Linked DNA regions of Sus scrofa. Each later gene encodes a partner of the first gene's protein in a complex. Links are inferred from orthologs where the notes say so. Each region holds a gene or a part of one and is shown on either strand. Other genes may lie near its edges. The genes, in order: LMAN1 and MCFD2.

What was found.
Region 2: the proteins of LMAN1 (region 1) and MCFD2 are in contact, whole or in part, in a cryo-EM structure (PDB 8JP5), measured with the Homo sapiens proteins. The link is inferred for Sus scrofa from reciprocal best matches to the Homo sapiens genes LMAN1 and MCFD2. Residues at the interface, in NP_005561.1 of Homo sapiens: His43, Arg44, Arg45, Phe46, Tyr48, Lys49, Ser51, Phe52, Lys53, Pro55, His56, Gln59, Ser60, Asp61, Val64, Pro65, Phe66, Trp67, Lys96, Phe265, Glu273, Lys279, Glu280, Ile281, Glu285, Lys286, Tyr289, Glu292, Phe293, Phe296; in NP_001164977.1 of Homo sapiens: Val59, Ile60, Asn61, Lys62, Gln70, Glu71, Leu74, His75, Phe77, Lys78, Tyr82, Asp83, Asn86, Asp89, Gly90, Leu91, Glu92, Thr95, Thr98, His99, Val100, Leu111, Glu114, Leu117, Ile118, Ile121, Asp122, Leu125, Asp129, Lys130.

The regions. Positions count from the first base shown.
Region 1 is NC_010443.5:161,610,791-161,618,783, reverse strand, and holds part of LMAN1 (protein ERGIC-53), read right to left. Parts: intron 7,623-7,993; coding exon 7,468-7,622; intron 7,385-7,467; coding exon 7,277-7,384; intron 6,578-7,276; coding exon 6,516-6,577; intron 5,256-6,515; coding exon 5,156-5,255; intron 2,574-5,155; coding exon 2,450-2,573; intron 373-2,449; coding exon 314-372; intron 1-313. UniProt on the Homo sapiens protein: Mannose-specific lectin. May recognize sugar residues of glycoproteins, glycolipids, or glycosylphosphatidyl inositol anchors and may be involved in the sorting or recycling of proteins, lipids, or both.
Region 2 is NC_010445.4:93,617,369-93,625,848, forward strand, and holds the start of MCFD2 (multiple coagulation factor deficiency protein 2), read left to right. Parts: upstream 1-3,552; 5' UTR 3,553-3,567; coding exon 3,568-3,825; intron 3,826-8,480. UniProt on the Homo sapiens protein: The MCFD2-LMAN1 complex forms a specific cargo receptor for the ER-to-Golgi transport of selected proteins. Plays a role in the secretion of coagulation factors.

The DNA.
Region 1 (7,993 bases):
TAGGTGAAAGGTTAATTTGTTCTTTCTACTAATATTACAACAAAAAATAACAGCCACTACCATTTACTGAGTGCTCACTAGAAGAGCACTGTCTTTAATGCTTTACAACATCAACATGGCCAGTACAAGCATCTCAGTTTTACCAGTGAAGAAATACAGCATTATAGAGGTTAAGTAACTGTATCAGGGCACACGGCGATAACTGGCAGAAACAAGACCCAAACCTAAGTCAGTCCTCTCAAGTTTTTAGCTACAAGGCATTACCACTAAACTGTAAATAAATTTTTGGAAAAAAAAAAATGAGTATACTTACTGGCTCTTTCCCAGGCTCAGTCAATTGGAAAGTCAGAAAAGAAAGGACATCATGGTCATCTACAAATTAAAAACAAAACAAAATAAAACAATCTGGAGTTCCTGTCATGGAGCACCAGAAACAAATCCCCGACTAGGAACCATGAGGTTGTGAGTTTGAACCCTGGCCTCGCTCAGTGGGTTAAGGATCTGGCATTGCCATGAGCTGTGGTATAGGTTGTAGACGTGGCTCAGATCTGGTGTTGCTGTGGCTGTGGCCTAGGTTGGCAGCTGTAGCTCCTATTCGACCCCTAGCCTGGGAACCTCCATATGCTGTAGGTGTGGCCCTAAAAAAAAAGCAAAAAAAAATCTGAAAAAGTGCCATAATAGACTTTATGATTGTGAATATACTTTACAGACATATGTTGCTTTAAAATAATAATCAATAAGGGAAATAACTAAAATTAGCTCTACTTTGGTAAATGCACAAAAGACAAAAGTTCATCTGAAAGACTTATATTGAAACTAAGCTGGAATTCATTTTTCTTAAATACAAAACCAGAATATTTAGCAGTGTTTAACATATTATGGATGTTTAATACATGTCTGATAAGGGAAGGAACAAATAAACGAAGGGTCCAAACAAGCCCCAAGTACTAATCCAGGCACTAAGATTCTCCTTTTTTTTTTCCTACAAATCTCCTTCAGGGACTGTGTCTCAGTGAGATAAGATCCTGTCCTTCATGTACTTTCTGCTCCTAGCTGTCTCTGAAGCTTTCTTATGGCACTTACCACTCCCAGCCCTACTTTCCATTTTAAATACGACACTGCTCTGTCCTAGCTTACAGGGAGAGTCCTGATTTATCTGTTATCTCCTTTTACTCTCAAAGCATCTGATTTAGATATTATGGTTACTCTTCTATACATCATTTATATTTTTTCCCTTACACAGTAGGTATTAACAATTTTATTTCACCTAAAATTGTATTAAAAAGTCAAATTAATTTCAAGCTGTTTAAGCTAGAAATAGCTAACTGATCAAACCACACACCTTGGAACTAAAATATTCAGCCTGGTTCATGTCATATCCACAAAGCAAGATAAGTGAATTTCAACTGTGAATATCCCTTTGCTTTCTGTCACTTGTATAGAGATCTATATATGTAGCCAGATTAAAAAAAGAAAATTATAATACCACAATGTAGGCTAGGTAATGTTAGGAAAAGTCATGCAGTGTTAAGAGAGCACTGGACCCAGGAGCCAGAAATCCAAATCAAGTCCTGCGTGGATCTGATGTACTAGCCTGATGCTCTTTACAAAGTCTTTTAATCCAAGATTTGGCAAACTCATGTAACAACAGGATGAATACGATCTATCTTCTCTCCCTCCCACCGTGTGTCATTTTAAGGAAAAACGCAAACGTTTGAAAATAATAAAGATATTCTACAATATGACCACAAGATGGTATTAACATCCAATGGTAAGTTCATTTATCACCACACATGGAAAAAAATGGAAAGTACATTTTCTTTGAACTTTAGTTCCTAATATTTCCTCAGGCTACCAAATTCATTCATTCATTTTTCCTTTCTACGGCCGCACCTGTGGCATATGGAAGTTCCCGGGCTAGGGGTCAAATTGGAGCTGCAGCTGCTGGCCTACAACACAGCCACAGCAACCCAGGATCCAAGGCGCATCTGCAACCTACACCGCAGCTTGCAGCAATGCCGAATCCTTAACCCACTGAGCGAGGCCAGGGATCAAACCTACATTCTCACAAAGACTATTTGGGTTCTTAACCTGCTGAGCCACAATGGGAACTCCCCAAATTCATTTAAATGCTCTGTGACAACTCTCAGGATCCTAAAACACTTGGCAATTAACCTTTTAAATATATCTCCTTCACTATAAAATAGTGTACCCAAACTGATACTCTTAATTTACATAACTACGTAGCCCTAGCCAACTATATGCCTGCAGAAAGCAAACAGAGAATCAGCAGTTCCAAGAGACCAAAAGACTGGCACCACAGACTATGGGACAGTTATAACTAGTCTTAAAAGTTAAAAATAAACCAGGCTACACATTTCCAAAATACAGTATTCTCAATCAAATTCAATTCACAATCTTTTAATATTAAAAGATAACAATATTTTACCTGCAAGACCTCCAGTTGCAGCAGATATTCCAAAATGCCCCTGTGCAGGAATAATCATATTTTCTACCTTGGCGCAAAATTCATAATCATTTTTATCTGGTGTGAAGCCATTATGGATCATTACCTAGAAAGACATAATCAGTGCATGACTCTTTGACCTTTATATTTGGTCTAAAAACTGTCAAAAAGCTATCAGAGTCAATCATTATGTTGGACATCTTAAACTGATACAGTATTATATGTCAATTACATCTCAATAAAATTGGAAGACATAAATTAAAAAAAAATTAAAAGCCATTAGCTTTCTCTCATTGTCATAAAGGGTAATCCCTCATCCATTAAATAAACTCACTTATTTGGTATCATTATATGTTAAGATATTTCACTTAAGAAAATGTATTTTGCCCTACTATGTGTCAAGGCTTAAAAAGAAAAATCTAGTAACTTCCCATGAAAATCCTTCTAAAACAGAATGTGGTTCACCTTCTCTGGAGAAGACTTTGGGAACCACAGTCTTTCTTTGAATGGTTCACAAAGAAGAGGGATTAGGCATGTTCTGAAACCGCAGTGGCAAACTACAATGAATAGGTTGAACTGGCAATTATTACTATAGCTAGTACAGAATTCCCTACATTGCCTTAGCAAGTAATGAGCGCCTCTTCATTAAGTTAGGGGAGTAACTGGTCTGTCCTCAGTTAGCAGAAGGACAGCAAAAGTGCAAGTCATGTTAACAAAAAAGGCAGAAAATGAATAGAATACTACTCAGCCAGGAGTTCCTGTCATGGCAGAGGAAAAGAATCCGACTAGGAACCATGAGGTTGAGGGTTTGATCCCTGGCCTCACTTAATAATGGGTTAAGGATCTGGTGTTGTGGTGAGCTGTGGTGTAGGTTGCAGATGCGACTCAGATCTGATGTTGCTGTGGCTGTGGCCTAGGCCGGCAGCTGTAGCTCCTATTGGACCCATAGCCTGGGAACCTCCATATGCCACGGGTGAGGCCTTAAAAAGCAAAAAATAAAAAATAAAATAATACTCAGCCATAAAAAATAACGAAATCTTGCCATTTGAGACAATGCAGATGGACCTAGATGGTATTAGGCTCAGCAAAGTAAATCAGACAGAGAAAAACGATGTATGATTTCACTTACATGTAGACTCTAAAGACCAAAACAAGCAAACAACAAAACAGAAATAGAGTCACAGATTCAGAGAACAAACAGGTGGTTGCCAGAGGTGAGAAGATGGGGAGGAGGAGAGAAATACGTGAAAGAGATTAAGGGGTACAACCTTCCAGTGGCAAAATAAATGAGTAACAGGTATGAAATGTACAGTGTGGGGAATACAGTCGATAATTATGTAGTATCTTTGTGTGGTGATAAATAACCAGACTTAGCATGGTGATCATTTTGAAATGTACAGAAATACTGAATCATTGCATTGTATATCAGGAAATAACATTGTGCTGTAGGTCAATTTTACTTGAAAAAACAAATAAAAAACGAACTCATAGAAAAAGAGATCAGATTTGTGGATACCAGAGGTGGGTAGGTGGGGGTCAGAGGTAGAGAGTGGGAATTGGATGAAGATAGTCACAAGGTAAAGACTTCCAGTTACAAGATAAATAAGTACTAGGGATGTAATGTACAACATGATAAGTACAATTAACACTGCTGTGTGTTATATATGAAAGTGGTCAATTTTAAGAGTAAATCCTAAGAGTTCTATTACAAGGAAAAATTTTTTTTCTATTTCTTTAATCTTGTATCTATGTGAGATGATGGATGTTCATTAAACTTAATGGATAATCATTTCATGATGTATATTAGCCAAAGCATTATCCTGTACCTTTAAAACTTTAACAGTGCTGTATGTTAGTTATATTACAACAAAACTGAAAGAAAAAAAGGAGAAATTGCATGTAAAGTCCCAAGCACATGGTGCACCCATCAAGAGTCAAGGAGTCTAAATCATCCTATTTTTTGCCCTTTTCACAAATACCCTTATAAAAACACTGCTGCCTAGTCATCTTTCTAATGACTGATCAAACCTGATCATTTCACTTTCCTGCTTAAAACTCTTTAAAACAGTTCCTTATAGGATAAACTACATGAGGCTGTGAGACCTGTTACTGCCAACCTTTCAACCTCACTTGCCAAATCTCCTCTATCCATCAGCAATACCAACTACATGCCTTTCCCAAATCTTTCAATGGTCCTGACACACCCCGTCTAGGAGACTCCAACTTCCCCTTCAAGGCGCAGCTCAACTCTGAAAAACTGTTCCTGACCGTACCCACTCCAGCCTGGAAGAGTTACAGGACTCCAGCCTCTTGATTCCTCAATGGTATCTGTGTTGTAGCATCATCACACAGCACACTAATGTTACACAAGCATAATGTTACCTAAGTCCCTCTTCCATTGAAAGACAAATGCTTTGGAGAAAATGACCTTTGTCTTACTCATATTTGTGTGGTACACAGTAGGATGCCTACACATTCACTGACCAACTGCAAACCTTCTGGCAAGGTGTGATAATGCATGACCACTTAAATGGAGCTTTGAAGTCACTTCTGTTCTCTCGTAGTAACACTGATGAGTATGTGAACAATATCCAGATTTAAAATGCATTTAATTTCTATCAAAGATTCAGAATGAGAGTCACACTAGAATACTGTTTATTTGATTATCTCTAAATGCATGTTACTTACTGTCAATGTTTTCTGGTAATATATAATCTTTGCCCGGATAGGATAGGGTTTATTACGAAAGTCCCTCTGGCAACTTGCTAAAGCTTGATTAGCACCATCACTATAGTATAAGGGAAAGGAAGACAAACAAGAAACTTAGGAAGCCTTCTCAATATTTAAAAACTTACTATTTAAAATGATTAATGTCCAGAAAGATTAAAACAGTATCAAGTATTGTTATTGACAAGGCCTATAATATTTGAAGTTATTCCTGCAGAAAACAAAAGTTAACACATGAGTTTTTCCTGTGATGTGGGTCAGGACTCCAGATAACATAAGGAGCCAATGCTACCACGGCTGCTGGCACAGGGAAGGGATACTATTCTTCCACATGAGACTAGGGAGGAGTCAGAGTCACATATACTGCAGATTCCTAGATCCCACCCTCAACTGAAGCAGAATCAGGAGAGGGAGGCCCTAGTACCTCTGAGTTAGTTTAAACAGTTCAACAGGTGGTCATGATGAACTACCTGAGTTAAAAATCACTAAAGGAGGAAAGTAATTTTTCTTATAGTTCACTGGGTAAAAGGTAATTCCCCCCATAACACACATGTGAGAACTTAAAATGTACATACTAATTCATACACATTATAAATATACTAAAGACTGGAAGCTTTGGAGCCCAATAAGAATGCATTTTTAAATTATTATTATTATTATTATTTGCTTTTTAGGGCCACACCTGCAGCATATGGAAGTTCCCAGGCTAGGGGCTGAATTGGAGCTGCAGCTGCTCGCCTACACCACAGCCACAGCAACTTTGGATCTGAGCCACGTCTGCAACCTACACCACAGATCACAGCAACACTGGATCCTTAACCCACTGAGTGAGGCCAGGGATCGAACCTACATCCTCATGGACACTAGTTGGGTTTGTAACCCACTGAGTGAGCCACAATGGGAATTCCCTGAGATTTTATTTTAAATACAGCAACACTAAGGCTGAAGGAAGTAGCATAAATTGCTTACTCACTAGGTTGGTTAAGGCTCTGAACTTTACTTTTTAAAGATCTTTTCTAATAAAGATGAAAAAAAAATGACTATTGGCATCACTGAGAACCAGGAATGTTTCATAAGCCTTTAAAGATACTATATAATTTTAAGTAAACTGTAACACACTTCCATGTTTGAAATCTAGGTGGTCCACAGGAAGCAATTTAAAACAAAACCAAATTAAAATAAGACCTTTCTACTAAATTACAAAAAACATTTCAAGAAAAAGGATAATCTTATTTCATCTGGAAAATGTTCGGATTTGAAACATTTTATAAGGTTTCCAAAAAGATGTGAAATTAGGAATAATGTAAAAATACACACTTACTTTTGATGGTCATATTGGATTTGTCCATTGTTGCCTATGATTACTATTGCAGGATTATTTTTCTAAAAATAAAGAGAATGTATTTGTTTTAAACTCTTTAGATCAAAGAATTCCGGGTGTGCTTTAAGTTCTCTTATACCTCTAAAATTCTAGGACACTGAGCTTGTGACTAGTGGACTTAGGGGAGCTGAGTAACAGAAAGACAAACCTGGCCTCAGCATTTAAGGAATTTAATATAAAAGTTCTCCTTTAAATTGTTACTAATGACCTCTAATAATCAGTAAACTACCGGTTGAAACAATGAATAGTCTTAGGAGGGCTGCAAAAGCACAGGTTAATATTTCCAATTCGTAAGTACATTTTGTTCTTGTTTTAGGGAAGTTGGCTGATCAAAAGAGTAATTAACATATGAAAAGATATCAAAATGTAAGCTAGTAGTAGTAATGGACATGTTTTCATGAAAACAAAGAGTAATAATCTTCTACACACTACTGGTCTCACTGCCTACATCTAAATGATTCGTGTTGATCCATCAAAATTATTAAACGTAAAGAGGCTGCTGGGGAGGTGGTATTGAAAAGTTCTCAGATAGAAGGTTCTACTGTGACCTCAAGTTGGTATATGACAACTCATGAACTCCTAGCTTTAAATTTATAAATTACCAGCTAGATAAAGACTAATCATCATAAGCTATAGTGCTCACAGCCTAACTTCGTTAGCCAATATATTAAAGTGGGTAACAGTCATGCAAACAAATATACCTTTCCATCATTGTCAAAAGAATCAAAAAATATTCCAACTCCATTCCACATATCAGCTGATCCAAATACAGGGCCCTCCAGGCCTTGATTTTCCGTATACCAAATTGCCTGTAAGTATATAACAGGGAACATTTAGAGGCTAGTAGCATATGCATTTATACACATTTTCCAAATTAAAGAAATTGCCATACCAGGCCATCAGCTCCAATTCGACCTCTTCCAGTTACTCGAAATGTCACTTCAACTTCCCAGTTCTCAAAGGCCGCTTTTGCCTTTGTCCATACTGATCCTCTTTGGCTTTTCAATGATGGTGCTATTCGAATCTGATCTGAACTTGGAATAGCATCTAAAATAGAAATCAGAGAAGTAAAGCTTTATGTTATAATTAGGCAAAGCTCAATGAATCATCATCAAACTGTTAAATATACCTATAGAAATCTGATTTTAACTCAGTTACCTGTACAGTAACTTTATTAGGGAAAAAGTTCCATGTTGACAGTCTCAACTTTTAAATTTTAGGGGCTTCTAATACCCCCCTTAGCTTTTGAAGATGAAATAGCTCTGCCAAAAAAATTAAAGCTGCCACCAAACACTAGAAATTCAAGGGGCAGGAGCAAGGAGATTACAGCTTAAAAGACAAATCAACTTTTTGATTCTCATAATGTTCTTTTTCAAATACCTCTAAGATTTGCATATTTTCTTTTTAAAAACTGTCAT
Region 2 (8,480 bases), on another chromosome or scaffold:
AGATTTTAGGGACACATGATTTCCTCAAGCATTTGTTAGACTTCCGGTCAATTCCCTTTTTTTTTTTGCTGTGTAGGGCTGCACCTAAAAAGGGCCCCATATGAAAGTTCCCAGGCTAGAGGCTGAATCAGAGCTGCAGCTGCTGGCCTATACCACAGCTATAGCAAGGCCAGATTCAAATAGAGTCTGAACCTATGCCACAGCTCACAGCAATGCCAGATCCTTAACTTACTGATCGAGGCCAGGGAGCAAACCCACATCCTCATGTGTATGAGTCAGGTTCTTAACCTGCTGAGCCACAATGGTAACTCCTGCAATCAAATAATTTATCTAGGGAGTCTTTAAATGATTTTCTGATGAAAGATTAAAAATTTTCCCCAAGTAATTAATTTACTTACTTAGATTTTTTTTTTTTTAATTAAAGCAGCACTGGAGTTGCCTTCCTGGCTCAATGGGTTAAGGATCTGGCATTGCCATGAGCTGTGGTGCAGGTCACAGATGGGACTGGGATCCTGCGTTGCTGTGGCTGTGGCATAGGCTGGCAGCTACAGCTCTGGTTCAACCCCTAGCCTGGAAACTTCCATATACTTCGGGTGCCACCCTGAGGGGAAAAAAAAAAATTAAAGCAGTACAAAAAGGTATAAATTGAGGTTATTTCCACCTCTTTTCTCTAATAGTTTTCTCCTTGAAGAACAAGAAGGGACTTCTCATCGTGGCACAGTGGAAACAAATCTGACTAGGAACCGTGAGGTTGTGGGTTCGATCCCTGGTCTTGCTCAGTGGGTTAAGGAGCCCATGTTTCTATGGCTCTGGTGTAGGCTGGTGGCTACAGCCCTGATTAAACCCTAACCTGGGAACCTCCATATGCCGTGGGAGTGGCCCTAGAAATGGCAAAAAGACAAAAAAAAAAATAATAAAATAAATAAATAACAAGGAAAACCAAATATTAGCCTATTTAAGTCTTCTAGGGGGTGATCTTTGTGTGCACCATTGCAGCGGAGGCAATTCAAACACAGCAGGCAGACATGGCACCTCTAGCCCATCCTCACTACCTCAGGCCTCCACCTTATCTCCTGATAAAGCTCCCTCTTCATTGTCTCCATTGGTGTTGGCTTTGGCTTTGTATTCAAAGAAAATTGTTTATTTCAATCCAGAAAGACTCCAAATTGTGGGACTCAGCCAATTTAGGTCATAAGCTGCAGGTAAGATGTTGCTCTCTTACCAAGGTCTTATTTTCTTTAATCTCTGCTTTCAAATCAGTTATCTCTAATCTGGATTCGCCACTGTCTTGAAGGACTTTGCTGAAAGGTACTTCAAAAAAAAAAAAAAAAAAACATCCAACACTCACTAATGTTCTATATTGTTTCTGAGCTTCCTCGGGCCATACAACTTTGGGCATGTGGGTTTTCCCCAAGGTCCAGCAAGTGACAGCAGCTCAACACTTTCAATTTGCTTAACAAGTTGGTCACCAACTTTCCCACTTAGAATAGAGCCTTAACCTGTGGCTACCTTGCCCTTCAGTTAACCAATTCCACATTTTAGTGTCTGGTTTTATGTCTTACTTATGGGACCAAATTATTTTCCTGTTAGGAATCTGTTCAGCTACAAGTTATAAAACATACAACCTAGAGAGGGCTTACACAAACGTATTGTCTCATGGACTAGAATGGGGCAAGAATGGAGACGGGGAGGTCAGTTGGGAAGGTCTCACCTAGTCTAGGTAGTAGATGATTGTTTCTTGATGTCAATGATATCTCAATAAAGTTTTTTTGGGGGGGAACCACTAGAATTTGGCTTGAAAAAAGTGAATGGCAGTGACATTTACTAAAATGGGCAAAACAGGGTGGTACATGTTTGGAGGTGAAAATTAATATATCGGGGGGCCAAGTTAAATGTATGCTAGTTAGACACTCATGTGGAGATATCACTGAGCTTGTTGAAAGAAGAGACCATGTCTTGTTTGTATTTGAATTAGTAAGAGTTTCTTCAGGGACTTTGGGATCCTGGAATTTTTCTCTAGGGTAGGGTTGACAGATTTCAAACTCAGTTGAAGGTGGGAAAAGGAATGAGTCATGATCAGTAGCAGTTATCCCGATCAACTTGCAGGGCCCTGATCTCCTAAAGCAGACTGCAGGGAGTGTTCTGGGATCATCTACTTAATCACTTTCTTTCTCTGTCTCTCCCTTTCTGGATCCAGGCTCACATGAAAATGACTATGTAGGAGTTGCCGTCGTGGCTCAGCGGTTAACGAACCTGACTTGCACCCATGAGGACGTGGGTTCGATCCCTGCCTTGCTCAGTGGGTTAAGGATCAGGCATGAGGTGTGGTATAGGTTGAAGATGTGTCTCGTATCTGGCATTGCTGTGGTGTAGGCCAGTGGCTTCAGCTCCCATTGGACCCTAGCCTGGGGAACTCCATATGCCTCAGGTGTGGCCCTAAAAAGACTGAAAAAAAGAAAAAAAAAAAAAAGATTATGTATCTTTATGGGCACAAATGGGAGAAGGAATTTTAAAAATGACAGTCCTACATTCACTTACCCATCTGATCAATAACTATTCACTGAACAGTCTTGTATAGGAGAAAAGGTATAAGGGCAGAATCATATGGGGCTTATCTGTTTGTTTCCTTTGTTAGTGGGTCAGTTTTTTGGGAGTGCTTTTTCCTGTCTTGAATGATGACTGATTTCACAAACCGCACAGGTAAAGTGGTATTTGAACTGGGCTGCCCATAAAATCTTGGTGGGACTCATATACGAGTGAATGTGTATTGTAGAAGATGCAGCTTGCAGAATGGAGCAATCAGAGGCTGCACGTAGGCCAGTCTTGGAAACGAGGGATCCAAGGCCAGCTCCAGTGTTTTTGGCTGTTTCATCATGAGAAGAATTAAAATTCCTTACTGCTGACTAAAAGAAAAACGTACAACATAGAAGTTGTGAGTTAAAAGTTTTATTAAGGGAACTTACTGGGGACTATAGTGGAGGAGACAGCTTCTCGGCTCTGAGGATCTGCTCTCAAGAGGTAAGGAACAAGCTAGGATATATATGAACTCTTTTGAGGGGAAAGACATCTAGTCAAGCATCAAAAGATTGCTGCTAATCGCAAAGAACAGACATCTCAAATTAATGCTTTTAGTGTCATTCTATGAAAGAGAAGATGCAAGAATATGGGGTCAGTTGAGAATTTTCCTTAGAGATACAGCTTAACTGAAGCCAGTATATCTATAGTACAGAATGTTTCCTGTTTTTCTCCATTCTGAATTCCCCTCAGGGCACACGGTGGGTGGGCAAGTACAGTGGCTCATGGCTTGATCCTCGGCGAACAGGACTGGCAGGCAACATTTTTTCTTTATACTATTATACTTCCCAACTTGCAGTCAGAGGAATGCAGGGACCTGTAAATGTGGAGGTGGAACCAAAAGCCAGTTTTGGCGCCCACCCCGTCGCATTAGCCATCATTTCTCTCTGGGGGGCTTCCTGCATTGCCTAGCAACCTGTCAGGACTCTGGGGGTTCAGATAGCCCAACGCAGGTCCCCACCATCCTCACCCTCTGGAGGGTGGGCAGAAGAAATGCCTCCGCCTGACCTTTACCGGGCCACGGTCCGTTACACGTGGAATCGCCCCAGCGGCCCGCACTACACCAGCGGAGCAGGGGAGGGGCTTCACGGCGCCAATGGGCGGGCAGAAGGGGCGCGCGTGCGCACAGCGGACGGGGAGTGGGGCGGGGCCAGGGCCAGGGAAAAGAGTTCTGAGGACCGGGGCTGTCGAGGCTCACGCCGGGGTGCTTCGCTTTTGCGGAAAGCTGTTTGGCAGCTGGTGGCAGAGAGGGTGAGTGAACCACGGGACAGTCGTGATCTGGCTGCGGCCTGTGAGGCCTGTGACCCGACCTTGGAGGAGGAGATCCGTGGGGCGGGCCTCAGGGGTCCTCAGCAAGGCGCGATCCCGGCGTCCTTCAAGGATCCCGGGGCTTCGGGCTCAGGTTGGGAGACAGGAGCGGCCTGGCTGCGGGTCTCGGACCCGAGCCGCCTCGAGAAGATAGCTGACTAGGAGAAGAGCCTCTTCCCGGGGAGAAGCCGCAGGGGCGATAAGCCTAATGGGCGCGGCCAATCTGCCGTGACCTGCGCGCGCGGGCCTGAGTCTTTGCTCTCCGTCTGCCCCTGGTACTCCGTCTCCCTCCGGGGGAGACAAATAAACAGGTCCTGTTGGGCTGGCGAGCTTGGCCACGTTGTGCCAGGGGAGTGGGGGAGGCGGGGGAACTTTGTATTCCCCTCTTGTATTTTTTGTCTGGTATGGCACCGCCATCCACCTGATTGCACAAGCCGGAAACCTGGGCGTCCTTCTCGTCCGCTGCACCCTTTACCCATCCACATCGAATCCATCGCAAATCTCTGGATACACCCACTTCGTCACACCCAGTCCCTCTGCTCTAGCTGGTTCAGGCCACCATCATCTCTCCCCTGGACTTCCTTGGTAGCTTCCTGACTAGCTCCCTGTATCTCCTTTTTCCTCTGTAGTTTGTTATGTACTGGAAAGCCAGAGTGATGGTTTTAAAACACAAAAAAGTCACCAGACCTACTCACTCTTCCCTTACTGCCTTTCTGTGAATTCCCATTGCTCTTTCAAGCTCTTGGACGGGCTTATGAGACCCCTCATGACCTTTCCTCTTTTTGCTTTAGTCTGTCGCATCTATCTCCACTATACTGTGTTTTCAACCACATTGAACCATTTTTGGTTCTCAGATTGGACATTCTTTTGGGCTTAGGCTAGAAGGCTAAGACTTGTTATGTCATTCCCTCTGCCAGAGGTGTTGTCCTTTAATTGAAGAAATCCTCTTTCATGTATTAATCCAGGTGTGGATTGGGGCTTCTGTGGTATCCTACAGCTGACTTATTTACTCTCTCTTTTCCCACCAGGCTGAAATCTGTGGGACAGGAGCCAGTCTGGGTCACAGTCCTATCCTCAGAACCTGTCAGCACCAGGCTTCTAGTAAAGCGTGTTAATTAAATGTATAAGTGGAGTTCCTGTCATGGCTCAGTGGTTAACGAATCCGACTGGAAACCATGAGGTTGCGGGTTTGATCCCTGGCCTGGCTCAGTGGGTTAAGGATCCGGCGCTGCCATGAGCTGTGGTGTAGGGTCGCATGGGAACCTCCATATGCTGCGGGAGTGGCCCTAGAAAAGGCAAAAAGGCCCCCCCCCCAAAAAAAGATTAAATGTGTAAGTGAAGCATGGCAGCTCCCTGGGTCTCCAAATGAACAAGTAGATCAAGTTATTGAATGTCTGCTTTTTCAGAACCAGTAGTCAGCCCCCAACCCATGTAGAGGTTTCTTTGTCTAGGAACTTGGTTCCTTTCTTGCCTTCAGTCTAGCACCATGGCTGTTTTAAATGGGCAACTGTCAGCCAGAGTTTTTCTTTGGCATTGACTCTGAGCACACGATGTCTGGATGTTGGTGAGTGTGGCTGCTGTGGGTTCGAAGTTTTTCCTGAGGGCCCCAGCATGAGGGAAAAGTTGCTAACAGCTGCTGTGGTTTTCATGGGAGGAAGGCTGGCTCCAAACTCTTCCGTGTGGCCTAACGACACAATGAGAAGGAAGGGTGGGCCAAGCCGAGCCCCTGGTGGGAGGTCTCCAAAGCAAAGTTGCTTTTCTAGCTTGGGTCAGCTCTTCTGTGATAGGGAACAGCATGGCTCCATGCCAGGACCCACTGCCCCAATTCTGATGAAGGCGTGCTATGCCAGGTCAGCTCAGCAGTTTGTGATAAATTCAGTTGGGTAAAGGAGAGGCAGAGAAAATAGCTTCTCAGCCCTCGCAGAGGGAGGAAAAGAGAAAAACAAAAGGAGAATACAATGTGACCGTATGTCAAGGCCAAGTGAGTGCAAGAGACTGCAGACTGAGGTCATTGGAGGTCACAGTTAGTCTTGGCTGGGAGAACCCCGAGATGACATTTGAATTGGGCCTGGAAGGAAGAGGGAGGACAGACAGATGGAAGCAGTGGAACAAAGGCTCTAGGACTGGGAAAGATGGCTGGAGCAGTGAGGGAAGCCCTGTCACTGTCAAGGCACTGTGGGAGCCTGCCACCATCCAAGGTCCAAGCTTCCTCCCAGGCCTGGCGCTTCTCCTCATGAAGGATGTTTCAAAGTGGGGTTGTGTTCCAAAGTCTTCCTTTCAGAAATCTGTCCTCCTTTGGATGTGTCTCCAGCCTAGCCCTTCCAATTTCTCATGGGCCACTGAGCCCAGGAACTCCTGGGGCTCATCTGCCAAGCTCTTTGCTTATGGCCTTGAGCTGAGTTGGAGTGTGGCTGATGCAACTTGTTCTTTGGACGGAAAGGAGTTGCTGATATTTCCTTTTCTGTGTGAACAGTTTAACTTGTTAGGTGGCAGTCAGATTTCTTGTCCTCATTGTAGCACTTGTACAAGGGAGTTTCTCTTCTGTGCTCATAGATTTGGCTTTTGTTGTTTTCTTTTTTTTTCTTTTTTTGTCTTTTTAGGGCCTCACCTGAGGCATACAGAGGTTCCCAGGCTAGGGGTTGAATCAGAGCTGTAGCTGCCAGCCTACACCATGGCCACAGCAACACGGAATCCAAGCTGCATCTTCAACTTAACATCACAGTTCACAGCAACGCCGGATCCTTAACCCACTGAGCGAGGCCAGGGATCAAACCCGCGTCCTCATGGATGCTAGTCGGGTTCATGAAGGGAACTCCTTGTTGTTTTCTAATGCTTAGAAACCTGCAACAGCTAACCAAAGTGGGCTAAGTCCAAAATGGATGGTTCCTGCCCTTTATCCTGCCTCCCTTGAAGAGGGGACCATTTGGACCCAAAGTCACTGTATTCCCAATCACTTGATTGCCTTTTAGTATTGTTTGAATAGAAAATCTCTCCCCATACCCATCTGATATACTAAGCATCCAGCCAAGTAAGTTCTAGGAAATAGTGCCATGGGTCCCATGATCACTCAGCTCTACTGTCAGATAGATGTATCCAAAAACAAGTTTTATCTTCAGTTACATTAACATCAAAACCTGGCCGCATATCTGTGAAGCTGGTAATCCCCTGCCCCTAGCCCCCAAGGACCACAGCACACAGGCTGAGAACCACCAGCCTCTGTGCAGGCACTGTGCCCAGTGCGGGGAATGTGGATCCGGTCCCCACCCTCACTGAGCCCGGTCCAGCAGGGGCACTGAGGGGTTATCAGCATGTTCAAGGTCTCGTGCACAGCTGTTGTCAGCCTTTCCACTTAGGAGCAAGTGGAAAGAATGCCTAAGTTAGGCGTTCCTGTCGTGGCGTAGTGGTTAACGAATCCGACTAGGAACCATGAGGTTGCGGGTTCGGTCCCTGGCCTCGCTCAGTGGGTTAAGGATCCAGCGTTGCCGTGAGCTGTGGTGTAGGTTGCAGATGCGGCTCGATCCCACGTTGCTGTGGCTCTGGTGTAGGCCAGTGGCTACAGCTCTGATTAGACCCCTAGCCTGGGAACCTCCATATGCTGTGGGAGCAGCCCTAGAAAAAGGCAAAAAAAAGACAAAAAAAAAAAAAAAAAAAAGAATGCCTAAATTAGATTGGAATTGAAGACGGCTTGCTGAAGAGAGAGCTCCAAGGCCGATGAATCAGAAAGGCCTGGGAGGAACTGGCTTCCCGCTCTGGTCCGTCTGGTCCCAGAACTCTACAGTATGTGGTCAGAACATGTTGTTCTGCTCTGGTTGGGGCAATCTCTGCAGAGAGTAACTTGAGACCTTGTTTTCTCTACCAGGTACAGTGTCAGTGGCCTCATCATTGTCTGGACACTTTTTTTTTTCTTGTTATAGTCTCACCTGTGGCACATCAAAGTTCCCCAGCTAGGGGTTGAATCAGACCTATAGCTGCCAGTCTACACCACAGCCACAGCCACACCAGATCCAAGCTGCATCTATGACTTATACCATGACGCACAGCAACACCGGATCCTTAACCCACTGAGTGAGGCCAGGGATCAAACCCACATCCTCATGGATGCTGTGTCAGGTTCTTCACTCGCTGAGCCACAACAGGAACTCCCAGGGTCTGGACACTTTTATTTGGTCAAGGTGGGACCTAGTTTCCGGCTGTTCCAGACTGACTTTTTATAGATGAAATTAACTGGAACCCCCCTTTTTATTTTATCCGTAGAGTATTGGAACAAAATTGTGGGATGAATTGCATTAAAAACATATTTGTAAAGAAAAAATATGCGTATAGTAGAAATTTTAGAAGCAATAAAAGGAGAAGGAAAATCAAAATTACTCCTAATCTCATAATTTAGAAAATAACTTTTTTTTTTTTTTTTTGTCTTTTTGACATTTCTTGGGCCACTCCCGTGGCATATGGAGGTTCCCAGGCTAGGGGTCTAATCAGATCTGTAGCCGCCGGCCTACACCAGAGCCACAGCAACGCGGGATCTGAGCCACATCTGCAACCTATACCACAGCTCACGGCAACGCGGATCCTTAACCCACTGAGCGAGGCCAGGGAAT